Linked DNA regions of Lonchura striata. The protein of the gene in region 3 purifies or fractionates together with the protein of the main gene of each other region. This does not show direct contact. Links are inferred from orthologs where the notes say so. Each region holds a gene or a part of one and is shown on either strand. Other genes may lie near its edges.

Evidence for each region.
Region 1: the proteins of RRS1 (region 3) and FTSJ3 purify together in Homo sapiens (affinity purification with mass spectrometry; 3 studies listed by BioGRID and IntAct, counting the BioPlex papers as one, with this or other methods). This does not show direct contact. The link is inferred for Lonchura striata from reciprocal best matches to the Homo sapiens genes RRS1 and FTSJ3.
Region 2: the proteins of RRS1 (region 3) and NOP2 fractionate together in Homo sapiens (co-fractionation; 3 studies listed by BioGRID and IntAct, with this or other methods). This does not show direct contact. The link is inferred for Lonchura striata from reciprocal best matches to the Homo sapiens genes RRS1 and NOP2.

Annotation. Positions count from the first base shown.
Region 1 is NC_134627.1:1,888,158-1,895,346, forward strand, and holds the start of FTSJ3 (pre-rRNA 2'-O-ribose RNA methyltransferase FTSJ3), read left to right. Parts: upstream 1-4,181; 5' UTR 4,182-4,218; intron 4,219-4,344; 5' UTR 4,345-4,437; exon of another isoform or gene 4,438-4,479; intron 4,480-5,474; 5' UTR 5,475-5,534; coding exon 5,535-5,601; intron 5,602-5,680; coding exon 5,681-5,786; intron 5,787-5,935; coding exon 5,936-5,982; intron 5,983-6,123; coding exon 6,124-6,203; intron 6,204-6,302; coding exon 6,303-6,402; intron 6,403-6,657; coding exon 6,658-6,852; intron 6,853-7,114; coding exon 7,115-7,189. Other genes in the region: SMARCD2 (SWI/SNF-related matrix-associated actin-dependent regulator of chromatin subfamily D member 2), read left to right, coding at 1-205; PSMC5 (26S proteasome regulatory subunit 8), read right to left, coding at 844-897, 1,124-1,210, 1,285-1,395, 1,491-1,589, 1,666-1,856, 1,933-2,059, 2,148-2,378, 2,450-2,506 and 4 more.
Region 2 is NC_134604.1:29,452,972-29,460,668, reverse strand, and holds the start of NOP2 (28S rRNA (cytosine(4447)-C(5))-methyltransferase), read left to right. Parts: upstream 1-4,637; 5' UTR 4,638-4,696; coding exon 4,697-4,802; intron 4,803-4,878; coding exon 4,879-4,924; intron 4,925-4,996; coding exon 4,997-5,076; intron 5,077-6,176; coding exon 6,177-6,442; intron 6,443-6,739; coding exon 6,740-6,783; intron 6,784-6,902; coding exon 6,903-7,069; intron 7,070-7,697. Other genes in the region: CHD4 (chromodomain-helicase-DNA-binding protein 4), read left to right, coding at 86-251, 611-720, 947-1,082, 1,231-1,308, 1,424-1,561, 1,656-1,764, 2,079-2,211, 2,961-3,156 and 2 more. UniProt on the Homo sapiens protein: S-adenosyl-L-methionine-dependent methyltransferase that specifically methylates the C(5) position of cytosine 4447 in 28S rRNA. Required for efficient rRNA processing and 60S ribosomal subunit biogenesis.
Region 3 is NC_134603.1:35,123,459-35,129,609, reverse strand, and holds RRS1 (ribosome biogenesis regulatory protein homolog), read left to right. Parts: upstream 1-4,279; 5' UTR 4,280-4,412; coding exon 4,413-5,501; 3' UTR 5,502-5,629; downstream 5,630-6,151. UniProt on the Homo sapiens protein: Involved in ribosomal large subunit assembly. May regulate the localization of the 5S RNP/5S ribonucleoprotein particle to the nucleolus.

The DNA.
Region 1 (7,189 bases), on a different chromosome or scaffold from region 3:
ATCGCGCCCTCCCCGCGCAGCCCCGCGGGCTCCCCGCTCCCCTCCCGTTCCAAAATCCCCCCGGAGCCGGGGAGCGCTGCCCGTGCCCGTGGGGAGCAGCTGCCAGCCCCACCCCGAGCCCCGCAGGCCCCGCCCTGCCCCTCTTCAACCAAAGTTCATCATTCCAAACGCCAGCTCCCCCCGATGTTTTGCACTATTTTTGTGAACAGGTTTTATATAAAAAAAAAAACCAAAAAATACGAAAAAACAAAAAAAAGGCAGCGTTTTGTACAGTGGGTTTGTATTTGATTAATTAATTAATATATTGATTGAGTTCCTCTTCCTGCACTGGGCTCCTGCAGGGCCTCAGGGAGGCTCCCCGGGCTGCTCTGGGGATACGGAACCAAGAGCTGAGGTTCAGTTTGTGACAATCAGTTTATTCCTTACCCCACTCCCACTGTTTTACATAATTCCATCATTAACCACTTGTCTTGACGAGGTTTGGGGGCAGAGGCGCACCAAGAACTGGAGATACTGGGGAGGAGGGAGGGGACCATGGGGGCAGTGCCACCACTGCCACCCCCACTGAAGTGCCTTTGCCCCCCTGCAGGCTCTGAGGTGGGGGGGCGTTTACAGATTCCCAGGGTTGGGCTCAGGGGTTCCTGCTCTGCCTCTTGTGTAACCAGTTTTTGTCTATTTTGGATCTTTTCTAATAAAAGCAGTCAGCAGCAGCTCTGTGGGGTGTGTGCTGTGTCCTGCAGCCCCCACCCCATCCCCAAACCAGTCCCCAGCTCAGTGCCCGGGCCTGGCCACAGTAGCTCTTTATTAACAGCACCGAGGGAGGGAGCAGCTCCAGCCTCACCGTTACTTCCACAGCTTCTTGATAGACATGTTCTTCTCACTGTCCTTCTGCATCACCTGGGGGACAGGACAGGGATGGGTCCAACATTCATCGTCCAAATTGGGTGTTAATTACCCCAAAAACACCCCCAGACTGAGTGTCAGCCCTGCACAGGGAAGGTTTAGCAGCCTCTGCCATGTCACTCACACATTAACACCCCTTTGTTTGTGCTCCTGGCAAACGCCACCCAGGACACTGTGTGCCCCCATCAGCCCCCACTGTCACCTCTCCCCTGGCACCCACCTTGGCCACGGCCATCTCGAAGTCCTCCTGTGTGACGTGCACTCTCCTCTCCCTCAGTGCATACATCCCTGCCTCTGTGCACACACCCTGAGGGGACAGGAGGGGAACATCAGCCAGTGCCCCCCTTGGCAGCACCCCTGTCCCCAGAGCCCCCAGCTCACCTTCACCTCAGCCCCCGAGGCCCCCGGCATCAGCTCCGCGATTTTGCGCAGGTTGATGCCCCGGGTCAGGTTCATCTTCCGGGAGTGGATCTTGAGGATGTCCAGGCGGGCCTGGAGCAGGGCACAGGGAGGGTTGGAGCCCAGGAATGGCTCCCAGGGAGGGTAGGGACAGCAGGGACAGGGCCAGCTGGGGGTGGCTCTGGTACCTCCTCGTTGGGAGGGGGGAACTCAATTTTCCTGTCGATGCGGCCGGGGCGCAGCAGGGCAGAGTCCAGGATGTCGATCCTGTTGGTGGCCATGATCACCTGTGCAGGGGGACAGCTGTCACCACCCTGTGCACCGAGGGGCTGGCAGGACCCCGGGCAGGGCCGGCCCCTCTACCTTGATGTTCTTGGTGGCCTCGAAGCCGTCGAGCTGGTTGAGGAGCTCGAGCATGGTGCGCTGCACCTCGCTGTCGCCGCCAGAGCCGCCCTCCAGGCGGGAAGAGCCGATGGAGTCGATCTCGTCCATGAAGATGATGGAGGGCGCGTGCTCCCGCGCCATCACAAACAGCTCCCGTACCATGCGGGCCCCTGCGGGCAGCGGGCTCAGCCTGGCCCCGAGCCCAGCCGGCCCCGAGGAGCCCCGGAGCCACCCCCGCCCCGTTACCTTCCCCGATGAACTTCTGCACCAGCTCGGAGCCCGACACGCGGATGAAGGTGCAGTCGGTGTGGTGGGCCACGGCCCTGGCCAGCAGCGTCTTCCCCGTGCCGGGGGGGCCGTAGAGCAGCACCCCCTGCAATGGCCACGCCGCCCTCAGAGCCCGCCGGGGGACACGGCGCGGCCCTGGGGCTCCCCAGAGCTCCCCGAGCTCCTCCACTTGCCTTGGGCTGGGCGATGCCCAGTGCCTCGAAGAGCTCTGGGTGCTTCACGGGCAGCTCGATGACCTCTTTGATCTCCTTGATCTGCTTGTCCAGGCCCCCGATCATCTCGTAGGTGGAGTCTGGGACCTTCTCCACCATCATGAGGGACACAAGCGGGTCCACCTTGTTGGGCAGGATCTTGTGCAGGGTGTAGCTGTCATTGCGCAGGGCCACACGGCAGTTCGGGGTCACCTGTGGGGACAGCACGGGGGGCTAGGTGTCTCTGCCTGCCCTGGGGACCCCCACAGCCCCGGGGCACTCACATCATTGATGTCAATGTTCTTGTCCACATCCACCACAAACTTCCCCTCTGGGTGCACCTGTAAAGGAGCAAAGACCCCCGGGAATTCTTTCCCTGGGAATTCGCTGCTGAGGAACATCCCCATGGCCTGGGAGGAGCAGGAGCCAGGAGCTCCAACCCCACTGGCCACCCAGGGTAGCCCCAGGCCCAGCAGAGCCAAACCAAAGAGCTCCTCTGCACAAGGAGCTCCCACCCCACATCCCTGAGCTGTCCCACAGCCCCAGCCCAGCCCCGGCACCTGGGGGCAGCTCAGCCTCGTACCTTGACCAGCACCTTCTTCTTGTCCATGGCTCTCACCACCTCTCCCACATAGGATCCCTGCTCCTGCAGCAGCTGCAGCTCCTCCCGCAGCAGCCGCACTGGGGCAGGGACAGCTCAGCATCAGCCCTGGGCCTGAGGGCTGCCACACCCCCAGGCCCAGAGCCCCCAGAGCCCTCAGGCCCGGCCCAGCCCAGGAGAGCAGGAGTTGCTCCAGGCCGTACCCTTGGCGTTGAGCTCGTTCCTCTGCGCCTGCAGCCGCCGCAGGTTCTGGCTCTTCTCATTCACGATGAGCTGAAGGGAAAGGCTTTGCTGAGCGGCCTGGGGCTCAGCCACACCCAGCACATGGCTTCCAGCATGGAATTATAGAAGGGTTTGCATTGGAAAAGATTTCAGAGCTTGTCTCATCCCACCCCTGCCATAGCAGGGACACCTTCCACTATCCCAGGCTGTTCCACGTCCCCTCCAGCCTGGCCTTAGGCACTGCCAGGGCTCTGGGGGCACCACAGCTGCTCTGGGCACCCTGTGCCAGGGCCTGCCCACCCTCCCAGGGAACAATTCCATCTCAATATCCCACCCATCCCTGCCCTCTGGCAGCTGGGACAGGAGCAGCCCCTCAGCCAGGGCGCAGCAGCCCCAGCTCAGGGCACAGCCCCACCTCGTGTCCCCAGCGCCCCAGGGAGAGCCCTGCCTGCCCACAGCGCTGGGACAGGGGCCGGGACACGGCCACAGCATCCCGACAGCGGCCCGGTGTGCCCCGCGGCTGTGCTCACCTGCAGCTCCTCGATCTTGGACAGGTAATACTGCCGGAGCCCCGAGCCGCCCTTGCCGTCGTCCATCTCCATCTGGGGCAGCAGAGCTGAGCGACCGCCGGCACCCGCCGCGCCCCGCCGGGCCCGACTGCCCAGCACCACCGCGCCCGGGCCCCGGCTCCCCTTCCCCTCTCCCGGGTGTCCCTCCCCTCCCCGCACTGCCTGCCCGGCACCCCCCAGCCGAGTCCGGGTCCCCCGTGTCCCGTCCTGCCCACAGCAGCCCCGGCTCCCGCGCCCTGCGAGTGCCCCGGGCCCGGTCCCATCCGATCCTGACCCCGGTCCCGATCACATCCCGATCCCGATGCCGGTCCCGGTCCCGTCCCGCCGCTCAGGCTCCGCCGCCTTCCCCGAGACCCGCCGAGTCACGACGCTGCCGGGCCCGAGCAGCCGCGGCCGCAGCACACCGCTCGGGCAGCAGGACGCGCCCCCGTCCCTCCCCAGCCCCGCTGCTCCCCCGCCCAGTCACGGCCGGCCGCACCTGCTCGGGCCCGTCCAGCGCCATCTTCTCCGCCGGCATCGGCTCCGCCGGAGATGGCGCCGCGCCCCGCCGCCGGCCTGTGGCGTCACTTCCGGCTCCGGGAACACAGCGGGCGGCCCAGCGCGCATGCGCAGTGTGGGCCCCTCGTGTCGGCACCGCGCTGCCAGCTCGGAGCGGCCAGAGGTGCTGTGTCCGTGTGGGAAAGCGCCGGAGGGGAAGGACAGGCCCGTGACCGCATCACCGAGCGGGCCCGGTACTGTGCCCGCACCTCCGAGCTGTCCGCTATCCTTCTCCTTCTGCCGCCCGCAGGCTGCGGAGGAGGGCTGCGCCGCTCCTGAAATGTCGGCCAGGGCGGGAGGAAGCGGAAGCTAAGGGGTTCGCGCAGGGCACGCCGGGAAGGCGGTGCGGGCACGCGGCGGGACCGGGAGCAGGAACAGGAGCAGGGTCGGGATCGGGGCCTGGGGCTGGATCGGGGCCTGGGGCTGGATCAGGATCGGGGCCTGGGGCTGGATCGAGGTCTGGGGCTGGATCGGGGCCTGGGGCTGGATCAGGATCGGGGCCTGGGGCTGGATCGAGGTCTGGGGCTGGATCGGGGCCTGGGGCTGGATCAGGATCGGGGCCTGGGGCTGGATCGAGGTCTGGGGCTGGATCGGGGCCTGGGGCTGGATCAGGATCGGGGCCTGGGGCTGGATCGAGGTCTGGGGCTGGATCGGGGCCTGGGGCTGGATCGAGGTCTGGGTCTGGTGCTGGCTCGGGGTCTGGGTCTGGGGCTGGATCGGGGCCTGGGGCTGGGTTGGGGTCTGGGTCTGGGGCTGCATCGAGGTCTGGGGCTGGGGCTGCATCGGGTCCTGGGGCTGCATCGAGCTCTGGGTCTGGGGTTGGATCGGGGCCTGGGGCTGGATCGGGATTGGGGTCTGGGTCTGGGGTTGGATCGGGGCCTGGGGCTGTATCGCTGTCTGGGTGGCGGTCTGGGTCGGGGGCGGGGGCTGGGGCTGGGTCGGGGCCTGGGCCTGGGGCTGGGTCTGGACCGGGATCGGGATCTGGACCGGGGTCTGGGTTTGGGTCTGGGTCGGGGCCTGGGGTTGGATCGGGGCCTGGGTCTGGGTCGGGTCAGTGTCTGGGGGCGGTGGCTTGGGCTGGGGGAGGGGGTTCGGGGGTGTCAGGGCGAGGGGTGTGGAGCTCGGGTGATCCGAGGCCTCAGGGGGACAACGGGGCCGAAACGTGCCTCGGCTGGGCCTGAGGGGCAGGGCCGGGAGCAGTGAGGGGGCGCTGGGGGGCCCTGGGAGGGCAGTGAGGGAGGAACCGGAGGGGCACTGGGAGGGGTAAGGCAGGGAGAGAGCTGGAGGGACTCAGGGGGCAGCGACGGAGGCCGGTCTCCCCTGCAGTGCCTCGAGTGCCTCGGGGGCCCAGGCCACCCCTCAGCCCCGTTTCCCCCCCAGGCTTGAGCCCTTGGCTGGCAGCACATCCCAGCCCCCCCAAGGGGCCTCCCCGCCTCCACCATGGGCAAGAAAAGCAAACTGGGCAAGAGCCGGCGGGACAAGTTCTACCACCTGGCCAAGGAGACGGGTGAGGGCCGAGCCCAGTGCCGGGGGCAGGGGGCTGTGGTCCCGGGCACCCCCAGAACCACCCTCCTGCTGTCCCCCAGGCTTCCGCTCCCGCTCCTCCTTCAAGCTGCTGCAGCTCAATCGGAAGTTCCAGTTCCTGCAGAAGGCCCGGGCCTTGCTGGACCTGTGTGCGGCTCCCGGCGGCTGGTGAGTGGGGACAGCCACCCCCAGTGCCACCAGCCGCCGGGGGTCTGTGCTGTGGGACCCCTGTGCTGCACACCGAGCCCTGGGAGCGCAGTCCTGGCTGAGCTCCCCTGGGCTGCTGCTGCAGCTTTGCTCCTCTCTGTGCTTCCCAGGCTTCAGGTGGCTTCCAAGTTCATGCCGGTGTCCAGCCTGATCATCGGTGAGCACTGATCTGTCCCCACAGCTGGGACAGTCCCTGGGTGTGACAAAGGGCGTCCAGGGAGGAGGAGGGGCTGGGTGGGGAAGCCACTTGGCATGGGCTGGGTCCCTTTTGAGGGGATTTGCTGTGTTTCTTCAACAGGGGTGGACTTGGTGCCTATCAAGCCCATTCCCAACGTGGTGACGCTGCAGGAGGACATCACCACCGAGAAGTGCCGCCAGGTACTGGCCTGGGGCTGCAGGTGCCCTTGGTGGCAGGGGGGTCACAGGGGATGGGCTGGGGTCCTCAGAGAGGGACGAATGTGTGTCCCTGTCCCACAGGCCCTGCGCAAGGAGCTGCAGACGTGGAAGGTGGACGTGGTGCTGAACGATGGAGCGCCCAACGTGGGAGCCAGCTGGGTGCACGACGCCTACTCACAGGGTGGGGACACTGGGACAGCTCACTGCCCTTACAGGGTCCTAGGCTGCTGTGGGTTGGGAGGGACCTTAAAGCCCATTCAGTGCCAGCTCCAGCCCCGTGCTGGGACATCTTCCCCTGTCACAGGGTGCTCCAAGCCCCATCCAGCCAGGCCTTTGGGATGGGGCAGCCACGGCTTCTCTGGGAAACCCATTCCAGCCTGTCTCCACCCTCCCAGGGAAGGGTCATTCCCTCACTCCCTGCTCTCTCCTGCTGCAGCCAACCTGACCCTCATGGCCCTGAAGTTGGCCTGTGAGTTCCTGTGCAAGGGTGGCTGGTTCATCACCAAGGTTTTCCGCTCCCGGGATTACCAGTCCCTGCTGTGGATCTTCCAGCAGTTCTTCCAGAAGGTCCAGGCCACCAAGCCCCAGGCCTCCCGCAACGAGTCTGCCGAGATCTTTGTGGTGTGCCAGGGTGAGCATCCAGGGGCATCTGGAGTGGCTGGGGTGGGGCTGGGGGAATATGCTGTTGGCTGTAATTACTCCATCCCAGGAGGAATGTTTTTGATGGATCTGATTTCTCCTGGGACAGTGGAATGGCTCTGAGCCCTCTCCCCAGAGAAGTAGCTCTGATTCCTCCATTCCAGCAGGAGTGGTTCTGATTCCTTCATTCTGGCTGGCTCTGATCCCTCTGTCCCAGAGGAATGTTTCTCATGGCTCTCATCTCTTCATCCCAGGTTATCAGGCTCCAGACAAAATTGACAGCAAGTTTTTTGACCCCAAATACGCCTTTAAGGATGTGGAGGTTGCCA
Region 2 (7,697 bases), on a different chromosome or scaffold from region 3:
GTGTTCTCAGTGGTCTGCCTCTACAAGTGTGAATGAGTTTTGTATGACTCCTCCAGTGGTACATCTTTCTCTCCCTCTTGTGCAGGTGCAGGAATTTGAGCATGTGAACGGCCGCTGGAGTATGCCAGAACTGGCAGAGATAGAGGAGAACAAGAAACTTTCACAGCCCAGCTCACCCTCTCCCAAAACTCCAACTCCTTCGACACCAGGGGATACTCAGCCGAATACACCGGCTCCTGTTCCTGCACCTGGTGAGGGCTCCCCTCTTGCAGAGTCCTGCGTCCTGACCTTAGCCTGGCTGCTCCCCTCACCGGAGTTGTGGTGATGGGGTCTGGGGGTGGACGTAGATCAACTTACTCTCATGTTAGGAGGGCTGCCAAAGACATTTGCAAGCCCTTAAAGGCAAGAGAGGACACTGGCTTTCCTGGAAAGAACTGGCATCAGTGAGAAGCCCAGCATTTGTAGTGGGTAGGAAAGGGGAGGGTCATGTTAGTTCCATTTTGATGAGCCTGATCTCTGCAAGCAAAGAAGTGGTCTTGGTAACAGGGAAGACCTTACTGATTTGCTTCTCTTTTGTCTGCTGTGCTGCTCTGGCATGGGGAATACACAGAAGATGGAGTAAAAGTAGAAGAAGGAGCAAGTACTAAGGAGCAAGGAGAGCCTTCTGAACCAGAGAAGGAGCTCAGTGCCTCTGCTACTGAAACAGAGGCCCCTATGGAGGTGAGTTTTGGCTTTTTTGCCTTGTAATTTCTCTTGTGAATTTCTCTACTGCCCTCTCTTCATTTCAGCTGAGGCAGAGATGAGTTTTTAGAGTGATAATTGAAGATAATCCTCTGGTCCTCAGAATTGGCCTCACAGTTTTGTGTGTCTTTACTTTTTAAACTACTGTGACTGTTCTGTTGTCGTGTACTGCTATGCTTTGTGTCTCACTGCTCTCTGTCCTCAGCAGTGTGCTCAGCCTGTGGAGACACCGCCCCAGGAAGCAAAATCCCCAGTGAACTCCACAGAAGCAGATGAAAAAAAAGTAGAGGAAACAGAAGTGAAAGAAAGACCAGATGAACCAATGGAAGTAGAAAGCAAAGGTACAAAGCACGTGATCGTAAAGAAATAGGCTTGAATGTAGAAAATCACTGGGAACTTGCAGAATAGTATTGGGTTTCACTGGTCGAAGAACAAAACTCTGGACTTGCTACATTCCTGTGCATCTCATGTTCCCCTTCTTTCCCGCAGCTGATGCAGAAAAAGTGGAAGACAGAGCAGCTACTGAAAATCCCCCTGACCCTCCTATAATCACTCTGGATGAGAAAGGTGAGGCATGATGACTCCCTTCTCTTCCTTAACCCTTCTTCTGCAAGGATTCATTGTGGATTCAAGTTGTTGCACTATCTGCCATGTTTGTTTTAATAATTTCCTGTGTGTACAGATGAGAAAAAGGATGATGATAAGAGAGATGTGGTGATGCTACAGAATGGAGAGATGCTGAAAGACTCAGTAGATGAAAGGCACAAGAAGGCAGTAAAGCAGCGCTTCATGTTCAACATAGCAGATGGTGGTTTCACTGGTATGTGATCTTTGTCTGCTTGAACTTGTTTATAAGTGCCTGCTTATGTTTGTGAAGTAACTTCCAACTGTTCTGGTGTCTCTCGCCTTTGCAGAACTACACTCCCTCTGGCAGAATGAAGAGCGGGCTGCCACTGTCACCAAGAAGACCTATGAGATCTGGCATCGGCGTCATGACTACTGGCTCCTAGCTGGGATTATCAAGTATCCTTGCCATGAGAGACACATTCTCCCAGCTTGCACATAATTTGTCACGGTGAAAGTGACCACTCTGGATCTGACTGGCATAGGTTAAGTGAAAGACTGTTTTATCTTCACAATAGTGAAAGTGATGGTGGGAAGGGGAGTTTCCTGCAGCATAGCTAAGACTAAGCAGAACATAGTTCTCATTCCCCTTGGCTCCTGTTTGTCCCCTCTCTGTACCCCCTTTCCCCACCCCCTCTGGAAAACAGTACTGCCTGGGCTGTGTATTCCCTTGTTTTCACTGCGTTTGTTTGCCTGAGCTCATCCCATCTCAGTCATGGCTATGCCCGTTGGCAGGATATTCAGAATGATCCACGTTACGCCATCCTCAATGAACCCTTCAAGGGTGAGATGAACAGGGGTAACTTCCTGGAAATAAAGAATAAGTTTTTGGCAAGGAGATTTAAGGTAAGGATTTCTCTTTAGTGCGATAACTGCCTGGATCTCTAAGAACAGGTTCTTGCAATTCTGAGTTTTCACCAAGAAAGTGAAAAATGTATGCAATGCCTTTTTGTTTTAGGGGTAATAAAAAAAGCAATATATCTCGGGATCATGCAGTTGCTCCATGATAGGAGCTTCCTTTTTTCTGGAAATGGTATTGGGGAGTGCTCTCCATCCAAATGTTTGTTGAACAACTGGTAAGCAAGAGGCTTAAGGTTCAAGCAGCTGTTTTCATCACAGCTTCTGCTTGGTCTGCTGCAACCAGATCAATGTTTTGGGGCAAAACACTGATCAACTGTAGATTGAATGGCAAGTTCAGCACTGACAGGATTCCAGCTGATTTCTCCAAATGCTTACAAGATTTTAGACTCTTTCTATAAATAGGATGGAATACTTTTCCCTTGGGTTCAAAGAGTAATCACTGTCCCATTTGCCTCATAAAGAATGTGTAAAAAGAATCAGAGGACGAATGAAAATACTAGAGGAGTTGTAGTCTGTTAAACCAAATGTACCCTGGTTTTTTTGTGTATCTGACTTTGCTTCATGAAACCCTTATTGTTTTGGGCTACTCAGTAAAACCGGCTGGTGAAAGGAGATTCAGCTACACAATCTCACCTTATGAGATGGTGGGGAATTGGCTCAGGAGAGACCGGGGGTACAGACAAGGCTTCCTCTCAGTCAGCTGCTGAAAGACTCATTCCTGCCCCACCTTGCAGCTCCTGGAACAAGCGCTGGTGATCGAGGAACAGTTGCGGCGAGCTGCCTATCTGAACATGTCCGAAGACCCATCTCACCCATCCATGGCTCTGAACACACGTTTTGCAGAGGTGGAATGCCTGGCTGAGAGCCACCAGCACCTGTCCAAGGAATCAATGGCTGGGAATAAACCAGCCAATGCTGTGCTGCACAAAGGTAATGCGGTGTGTTAAACAGGGGCAGGATAGGTGTTCAGCAGCGCTGTCCCCTCTGGGGTGTCCCTTTCCCGTCTGAACAGATGTCCCTTTCTCTTGTAGTTCTGAAGCAGCTGGAGGAGCTGTTGAGTGACATGAAGGCAGATGTGACTCGTCTGCCCGCCACAATCGCCCGCATCCCCCCTGTGGCAGTGCGCCTTCAGATGTCAGAGCGCAACATCCTCAGCCGCCTGGCCAACCGCAGCAGCGAGCCCCCGCCACCGCCCCCTCCCCAACAAGTACGTACCCGCTCTGGTCAGTAAGGAAATTCCGGGGGGAGGGGCCCTCCGTGGGCCTGGCTGGGCTCTGGTGACCAGCCCGTGAGTCTCAGGTCCTCCTCTCTCACCCTACAGGTGGCCCAGCAGCAGTGAGTTCCTGGCCCAGTGCTGTTGACCTTTCGGCCAAGCTGAAGTGACTCCCCTAGCCCACCCCTTCACACTCTACCCCTCTGCCTGACATTCCTGACTGGGTGCTGTTTCCCTCCATGGAAGCTGCTGCTCAGGTCTCTGGAAGGAGAAGAAACTCCTTCCTCTGCAGCCAGCCCGTTGGAGCAAGGAGTGTGTTTAGGAGAGAGGGGGATGGATGTATGATGGACTCTGTATATAGTGACTGGAGGCCCCAGCGCCATGTCTGTTACATGGAGAACCTGGCTGCATTGCTCGTTGCCTCCGCCTGGAATTCCAGTTTTGTTCTTAATTTTATTTTGAGTTTGTTTACTGAGACAAGTGCGCAGGCAAGACCAAGCAAAAGCCAGGACAGAGACAAAGCTACCTCCATCAAAATCCTTTTTAATAAAAAAACTGACCGGACTTGTCAATTAATAAAGCAGCTTGAAGACAAAAGCAAACAATGAAAAACCAACAAAAAACAGAGCAAAACGTTGATAAAACTGAAAAATAAAATTTCCTTGTATTTTATTTTGTTGTCTCTAGTATCATGAGTGTACTGGGGTAAGTATGTGGTCTCAGGACTGAAAGAAGAGGGTTCCCATGCCTTTTTGCTATATCAGAGCAGCTTTTTGGGGTACCCTACACCTCTGAGAGGGGCAGTAGATGCCCCAGCCCTGGCAGTGTTTAAGGCCAGGCTCCATAAGGCATTGAGGAACCTGGTCTCAGGAGTGGTGTCCCTGCGCCTGGCATGAGTGTTGGGCTAGATGCTTAATCCTCTGCGCCCCTACCTTACCAGTCTGATGCCGTGGCTCCTTTCCCCGCTGCGGCTGCAGCACGCCTTTCTCTGCTGCCTCTTGGGGCTGTTCCCCCCTCCGTGGGTGCCTGCGGCAGGAGCGCCGCTCCCTCGCTGCCGGGCCCGGCCCGACGCTCCCGGCGCCGCCGTTCCCGCGCCGGGGCGGCCCCGCGCGCCCGGGGGCGGGCGGCGCGCGCCGCTGACGCTGCCGGCAGGGCCAATCAGGGGCCAGGGTGGGCGGCGCGGGGGCGGGCCCGCGGCGGCGCGTGCGCCGGGGCGGCGGGAGCGCGGCACGTGCGGCGGGGTCCCGCGGCGCGGCCATGGGGCGGAAGCTCGACCCCACCAGGAAGGAGAAGCGCGGCCCCGGGCGCAAGGCCCGCAAGCAGCGCGGGGCCGAGGTGGAGCTGGCCCGCTTCCTGCCGCCAGGTAAGTGCGGCCTGGACCGGCCCGCGGCCGCCCCGCGGCGCCTGCGGCCGCCTCACCGCCGCGTGTCTTCCCGCAGAGCCGGAGACCGGCAGGAAGAAGCTCTCTAGTCACGGCAGAAAGAGGTGAGGGGGCGGTTCGGTGGCCGCGGTGTGCGGGCCGGGCCGGGGCTGATGGCGCTTCCCCTCCCGGTGCAGGGCTGCGAAGCGGCGGCTGGCAGCGGGCGGCGGCGCGGCGGGGAGCAGGCCGCGAGGAGGAGGAGAGCGGGAGCCGACGGGTGAGTGGGAGCGGGTCCGAACCGGGCTGGCGGGCCTCAGTCCTGCTTCCCCCCGGGCGCTGCCGCCGCCGAACTTCTCTGGCGTCCTTTTCAAGGCAAGGGATGCGTGGAATTTCATTGTTCTAAATCACAGAATCCTAGAGTTTCCTGAGTTGGAAGGGACCCACAAAGATAGTTAAGTCAGCTCCTGGCCCTGCACAGGACCGCCCCAAGAGTCACACCACGTTCCTGAAAGTGTTGTCCAAACCCTTCTTGAGCTCAGATGGACTTGGTGCTGTGATCGCTTCCTTGGGAACTTGTTCCAGTGCCCTCTGGGTGAAGAATCTTTCTGATATCCAACCTAAACCTACCCCCTTCCCCTGACACAACTTTGATTGCCGTACCCTCAAGTCCTGTCTCTCAAGTCCTGTCGTGGGTCACCACAAAGATCAATGCCTGCCCCTCCTCTTCCTCATGAGAAAGTTGCAGACTGCTATGAGGTCTCTCCTTAGTCTCCTCCAGGCTGAACAGACCAAGTGACCTCAGCTGCTCCTCAGACAGCTTGACCTCCAGACCCTTCATCATCTTGGCCTTCTTTTGGGCTCTCTGTAATAGATAATAATGAGTTTTATCTGATTTCTGGTGACTGCCATGCCAGGAGGCAGCGTTGTCTGAAGAACTAGTCAAAGGTCTCTCTTCTGTGTGTTAAGTCCATTTTTTACTCATTCTTTATTCACAGAAAGGTTGTTGCAGGCTGATTTTATAGCTGAGGCTTTTAAGTCTGTGTGTTACATCTTGTGTAGCCCAGGAAACTTTTAAAGTAGAAAGAAGGAAGGATAGACAAAGATTCGGGACAGGATACTGTAATATGTCAGAGCAAATAACCATAAGAATTTTGTGGCAGTGTTTTTATTTGGTAATTATAGTTAGATCTCCTGAAAGGTCCGGTGGGGGAGAGGTGGGAACATGCCCAGTACTTTATGAGATGTAGAGAGCAAGTCCCTCCCTCTGGACAGGCAGCTCAGGACTCGGACTAAGGCCTTTGTGTGTAACAACTGAAAAAGCAGAGCAGCTGATTTTGGAAATAATGCCTAACTTTTGACTGTTTCTTCTGCCTCTAGTTGAAGAGCAGCTGTCCCCACAGAAGGATAAACGTGCTGTAAAGGCAGCAGGACAAACTGTCCGTGGCCGTTCTGGCTTCAGTGATGGCAATTCCAAATGGCTGGCTCCAGCCAAAGTCAAGAAAACTCAGCCTAAAGGAAATCATGTGGAATTATCCAGTGATGGTGAGGTGGAAGAGAGTAGCTGGGAGATGGAGGAGGAGGAGGATGGGAGCAGTGAGGAGATGGTGGATGATTATGGTGCCTCATCATCAGAGGAAGAAGAGGTAGGAACTTCTTGCCCTCAATTACACAAGGAATACTTGATGTTGGTGGCTGAAAGGACCCCTCAGGCCTGGGGGGGAAGGATGGCTTTAGTGGCAGTGGGTGGTGAGGTGGTGGAGAACTTTCCCCTTTTTCCTTCACAAGAGTGATTTAAAGTTTAACAGTAACAGCTGATTCCAGCATAACGTTCAGTGCTTTTGTTTGTTGACCCTTTTAAACAGAGCAAGTAAATTTCACAGATGTGGGAAGTAAAGGGGTGACTGTGGATGTTTTTTGATTAATCTTTTGTCTCTATTTAGCTGCTGCCTATTGAAAAAGCTGCCCTGAAGCAGAAGCCTGACAGGTGAGTGTGTAGAGCCTTTCCCGAGGAAAGAGGAGCCTGTGTTGTTATTCTTCTGATTTTGTGCCATCTGAGAAATGGTAGTTGAGAAGCATCTGTGTGATCCTGTTCTTTGTTGTTAGGGAAGGCCTCAGTGAAGATGACAGTGAAGAGGAGGAGGAAGAAGAAACAGAAGAGGCAAACAAGCAGAAAATGGGACAGAAGGAAGAAGAGGGCCCTGATCTGCAGCTCAACCTGGATATAGATGAACAATTTAAACTGCCAACTAGTGAAGAGATTGAGAAGGAGGATATCCTTTTTATCTGTGGCATCCATAAGCCGTGTGCATGATGCAGCACGGGGCCTGGATATAAACAGAGAGCTTCCTTTGGACTTTTATCATGCACATTACTTAGCAAAAGTGTCTCTGCGTGACAAGGTATTTTTAGCTGAGCTGTCCTAATAGATAGTGTATAATGCTGTGCTTCTCTATAGCACAGTTAGGAAATCTGTGACACCCTGTATGGGGCTTGGAACCTGCCCTAATTTCCTTTCTAGTCCTAAATACATATAGATGATTTATTATGTGGTTTGTTCCTCTCTACCTTGATTTTCCTGGTGGGTGTTTGTGTAACCCATTCCCAGAGTTTCCGATGACAGCAATTCTAGCATCCAAAGTTCTTGCTGCTGGATTTGCTGATTTTAATTTTCTGCCTTCCTTCTTACTCTCCTTTATACTGCTTGGTTGCCCTTGGGGAATTTCTGGTCTCTTTTTCTTCTGCAGGTAATGCTTTCACTATTAAAACGCTACTTTTGTTAGTTTTTTGGGGTTTTTTTCCCTGTTTTTTTCTTTTCATCTAAACTAATTCTTTTAAACACCCTCTAGTTCTGCCTTGTGAACTTTTTTGTCCAGTTTCTTCCTTTGAATCCTGCATCTG
Region 3 (6,151 bases):
TCTGGCCTACCCATCACTATCCACAGTGCCTGCAGTCATCCAAATCTCCCTGCTATCTCAACAGCTATCTGTGTTCTGGCTTCTAGACTAAAAATCAGCTCTGCTTAGTTATCCACTTGTAACTGCATTCCAACTACCTAATCTTAGGTTTTGCAACTAGAGCTACAGCCTCCTGACTTTCATCTGCACAGTTTGGGTTTTTTTGTTTGTTGGGTTTTTTTTTTTTTTCATAAATACAGCACTGTGCTATAATCACATGAAATCTTTGGACAGGAAAATGAAACCTGCCCATTTACAAACCAACCAGAAATGTTTTGAAGTGTGTGAGCACAGATAATATCATCTCCATCAACACAGCTTGCTTAAGATTAAGCATGTCCCCTATGAGGTTCCTAATAAGGCCTTACAGTGGTGAAACCATGAGAAGGAATGCCCCATTATCTGTAATGAGTAATATAATTCCTGTAATAGGAAAAGCTCTGACTACCAGATGTATTTTTGTTATACTGCAGAAGTCAACTCACACATTTTATAAAAGATGGTGCCTTAAATCTTTGTAAGTTTTTTATTCCTTACAGACAGGTCTTTTACATTATATGGACTAGCAACTAGGAAAGAGTCTGTTTAGTCAAATTTGCATTGCTGTGTTTTGCTATTTGGTCTGAAAAAGCACTTATATGTCCCAGGAAATAGGACACATACTGAAATACATTAAATGTATGTTACAGGGGTTAAAAAAATGTATCAGGAAGCAGAATTGGGTCCATAAATTGTTGTACTTAATATAGCTTCAGTGAGCAAACAACTTCTCCGTTTTACAAAAAAAATTCTACAGCACAGATTTTTACTTCAAAATGTACTGAACAAAGTCAGTGGAAGGGAATTATTCTGAGATAGTGTGGATATTTTAAGGGCACTTTCTACTATTTTCCAAAATTATCATCACTTTGAGTTTGCCTGATAAAAGTGTTCTTCATAACAATCCTCACAGCAGGCTTATGAATTGATTGACTCATCTTATAACTACATCTACTGCCATCCAGAGGTAATTGGCAAAAGTTTGAAAAGTAAATCTAAGTTAATGGTATCACTAACAGTGAGACATTAATCCTGTACATGAGAGCAGCTCCTATCAAACACAAACCTCAAGTTGCAGCCCAGCTGAACAGAAAGTATAAAAATAAAAGTTAAGTAGGATAATTCTTTATTCTTTCTCACAAGAAAAACAAACCTGATGGTATGTCACATTGATGTTGTAGTACTTTTGGTGCATCACGTATATTCTGCATTATGCTTTCAAATAATCTTTTGAACTAGTGTTTCTGAAAATTATACTCTACTGTATTTCTCATGCAGCTACATTTTTTGTGTGGTTAAAAAAAAAAAAAAGACCCAATACTCTACAGCCTTCTTCACCTCAAAATAAAACTGCACTTTGCAAGAGAATCCAAACCCTCCCTGGTCACATCCAAGTAAAGAAAGCAAGCAAACAGTAAGCATTAAGTACATATATGCACATACTGTGACATATATTGCTATTGTTCATACTGAAGAGATAAAGTACCTCAGGGAAAGGGAGAGCAATGATGAAATTGTTTCATTATCTACAGACTGTAAGTGCCCACAGTTAGATGTTGCTGAGCCCTCTATCTGAGCACAACCCATAGGCAGCCTGTGAAATGTGATATCTGATATGCCAAAAGGAACACAGGAACCCCAGAACAGAGATGATCAAAATGAATAAACACTTCTAAAAATTCATTCTTTTAAAAATTGCTGGAAGAGTCTTTTTAAAATAATGAATTAAACATGAGATAATAAAAGCATTCATTTCCTAAAAGCTGTTTCTATTACTGAACATTGGTATTACCCTTTCATCTTTTGGAAAGCCCAGATTTGCAGAAGTACACACACATCTATTCCTTTGACAGAAGCCATGCACCTGGTTGCAATCCCCAGCTCTAAGCTGGGAGTACAAGCTCAAAGCATGGCTATGGTTACTACAGTCAGCTCAGAAGCCCCTCCTCAGAATGGGACAGTTTCTCAGAATATCCATGATTATTTACAAATCTCTGTTTATAAATCTTTTCCAATATTCTTCCAACAACCACCTTCTCAACCACATTGTGAAATCACAAACTGCAAGCACCAAAAGCAAGGTTGTGCTCTGAGGTGCAGATTCCTGAAATACATAAAAAGGCTGGAATTTAGATCAACACAGCAGTTTCCAGAAAGTAATTTTTACTTCTGAGATTCCTCTACATGTTTTCAGGTAAAGCAACATCAATTCCTGACATGCGCTCCTTCTGCTATTCCAGGGGGAATCATTAACAGTTCAAGCAACTTTGGAAGTGCAAGAGATGACATCCTCTCAGCCCAAGGCATCCACCTGATGCATTCTGGACTTTGTACAAATACAGACCAAAAGAACTCCAAGATATCTGCATAAGGATAAAAGAGGAGGGTACCTGGATCAGTGTAAAGGTATTAACCAGACTACCAAAATGGTGAACCTTGCAGTCCAAAAGTTCAAATTTATGCCTAAATCTAGATAGTGCCCATGTACCTCTTCAAAAAACTGTCTTTAAAATTAATTTTATCTGCAATTCCAGGGTAAAGTATGAGCTACCCAAGAGAAGGTACAAAATATTATCCAATGCCATCTTGTGGTAAACAAGAAAATAGTCCATGCCAACAAGCTTGGATTTAAATACATAGGGATTCTGTTGCTCCACAGTATACAAGTCATGCTCAAAACGGCTGACTTGGGGAGAAAAAAAATTCTTGGTTAGACTGTGGCAAAGTTGTGTTATGCTAGCCATTAGAATTTAAGAATCAGGTATTTGTCTTCAATGTTTTGTTTAATTTCAATAACATTGCTGTGGCACTACACTCAGAATAATTTCCATCACTCCAAAACTAATCTAAAGGCAAAAATGGAATAATAACTTAGAAGATAACTATACCTTGTATAAAAACACCCATAATTTCCCTCCACTACAGCTAAGTGTTCTCATGAGCTTGTTTTTAGGGCACCAGGGATCAGCTCAAAATATCATGGCCACACAAGCCAAATCACTGTATAGCTATAAAAGGATTCTTCTGCAGCCCATTTATTTAAAAATAGCATGGAGGTATCTGTGACCCAGCTGACCTTTAGGAGCACACCATATCACCCCAATCACCTCACTTATAATTATGTCTGTTGAGACATCTGCCAGATGATACTGCTTCCCAAATGCTGTTCCACCCCTCCCTTCTCTGGAGGGAGATCTACCCACAACACCTGTGTCAGTCTCGGTGGAGTTGCAATACAGCACTTGAATTTTGAATTGAAAGAGCACTCAGTGGGACTGTTCTACAGCAAACAGCATCAGAAAGAATCATATGCTTTAAAAAAATCAGTAAAAGAAGCGCATAAACAAACAACACACACACACATACACACCAAAAAAAAAAAAATTAAAAAAAAGGAAAAAAATATGTTCCTGTGTCACCGTCTCGGTGTTTGGATGCCACAGCACATCCCTATTGCAGGCAAAGGCAAGGGAATCTGCAGGGCCCCATTGACCCTACAATGGTCCTACCACTCTGCTTTGGGCATTTGCCTCCCTTCATGTCCTGAGTCTTCCCACGTATGTTCCACCTCAGCACCACTCATGGTAGCAGCATGAGACAGATTTGGGGCCACCCCGAACCCCACACAACCCCAGCTTGGGGGTCACAGAGGATTTCATCAGTATCATTGGTGATCATCGGTACCACAGGTGAGGGGTCCAGAAGGTGAAGTCCCACGAGGAGCGGCCAAGGGAGCTGGGGCTGTTTTGCCTGGAGAAGAGGCTCAGGCGCGATCTTATCCTTCACTACAACTAGGTGAAAGGAGGTTGTAGCCAGGTAGGGTTTGGCCTCTTCTGCTAGGCAGCTAGTGATATAACCTTGAACTGCACCAGGGGAGGCTCAGTTCAAGTATTAGAAATAATTTCTTCACAGAAAGGTTGATTAAACAGTGGAATGAGCTGCCTAGGGAGGTGGTGGAGTCACTGTCCCTAAAGTTTTTTAATGAAAGACTGGACGTGGCATTCAGTTTCCTGCTCTAGCTGACATGGTGATGTTTGGTCACAGCTTTGACTTGATGTCCTCAGAGGGCTTTTCGAGCCCAATTGATTCTGTGACTGGCAGGGCACGTCCATAAGCCGCTTCCCTGGCAAAGCAGGGCTCCTCCGGCAGGCCGCGGGGAGCCGCGGCGCCCTCTGGCGGGCCGGCGCGGCGGGACTACATCTCCCGGCGGGCATTGCGCCCGTCCCGCCCGAGGGCCCGGCGGTTCTGGGCCCGGCGGTTCCGGCGCGCTGACCCGGCGGAGCTTTCCGTGCTCCGGGGCAGCGGCGGCGCCGCTCGCACGTGTAGCCGCTGCCATGGCGGCCGTGCGGGTGGAGGCGGTGCTGGCGGCCGCCGAGGAGCAGGAGGCGGAGAAGCGGCGGAGCATCACGGTGGAAAAGGAGCTGGAGCTGGAGTACGACCTGGGCAATTTGCTGGCCGTGGACCGCAACCCCCCGCCGGCGGCGGCGCTGCGCGGGGCCGGCCCGCGGCGGGAGGCGCTGCTGCAGGCGCTGGCCCGGGACAACACGCAGCTGCTCGTGTCCCGGCTCTGGGAGCTGCCGGCCGAGCGCGCCGGCGGCGCCGGGGGCCCGCTGGTGGCGCAGCTGCCCGAGCCCACGTTCCGCCTGCCGCGGGAGAAGCCGCCGCCGAAACCGCGGCCGCCGACGCGCTGGGAGCAGTTCGCGCGGCTGAAGGGCATCCGCCGCAAGAAGAAAACCTCGCTGGTGTGGGACGAGCAGGCCAAGGAGTGGCGGCGGCGCTGGGGCTACCGGCGGGCGGGCGGAGACCCGTCCCGCGCCTGGCTGGCGGAGGTGCCGGCGGGCGCCGACCCCGAGGAGGATCAGTTCGCCCGGCTGCGGCGGGAGAAGCGGGAGCGGGTGGCGCGCAACGAGCTGAACCGGCTGCGCAACCTGGCCCGAGCCCACCGCGCCGGGAGCGCCGTGCCCGCCGCGCCCCTGCACCCCACCGGCCACCAGGACCGCGACGAGCTGCGCCGGGTCGCCCGCGTCGCCCGCGTCTCCACCGCCTCGCTCGGCCGCTTCCAGCCGCGCCTGCCGAAGGAGTCGGCGGAGCCGCCCTCCCGCAGCGGCGGCAAGAAGCGCCGCTTCGAGCCGCTGCTGGGCAACCTGGCGGCCGAGCGCAGCCGGCAGCTGGAGCTGCTGCGGGACATGGGCAGCAAGAAGCCGGTGCTCGACATCACCCGCGCCGTCAACAAGCAGCTGCGGCAGGAGGAAGCCGAGGCGGCCGCTGCCAACAAGGGCAAGAAGCAGTCGAAGCGGGGCAAGCGCGGCCGCCGGCAGCAGCGGCCTGGGCGCAGCGGCAAGAAGAGCGGAGCCCGGCGGCAGCCGCAGCAGCAGAAGGCTGCGGGCGGTGGTGCCGGCGCGGGCAGGAGAAAGAAGGCGTGAGAGACAGTGTGCAGCACGGGCTGAAGATGCCCACCGAGGCGTGGGAAGGGACTGTCACTGCCAGCCTCCTGCCCGGTGCTCTATTCACACACGTATCTGTCAATAAATGCGTTCTGACCTTTCTAAAATATCCTGCGTTTGGCTTTTAGCTGGTAGACAAGGAGGGCTGTGTTCTCCATCCAAGGGAAATTGGTGTCCTGTGAAGGGAGAAGGGTGCACCAGTTCCCTCCAGTCTGGGGATGTCACAGTGACTTGTTTCACAGGTAGTGTCGCTTCACAGTTGGCCTGCAGCATCTCTGCCAGGACAAAAGCTGAGCAAAGCTGTTTTCAGGTGGCTGGGACTGGACCGCAGATGCGACCTTGAGTTTTGATGGAGTAGCAGCCACAGGTCCAGTTAAAGGATGTGGCTGCTGCTCTCTGCCTTGGGCAAGTGGCCTGACGGTGGAGCTCTTGCTCTGTAAGTCAGCTTCTGCAGCTCAGCTCTGTGGTATTCAGATTCAGTTACAAAAGGAACATGGAAACTTACTGTAAAATTTATTGCAGGGCCTAAGAAATTATACAGATTTTCCACAGCATTTTGTTGATGAAAAAAAGTCTGAAAAAAGCTGCTGAGCAGCCATTGAGTTCAGCAGAAAAATGTTTGTATTGTA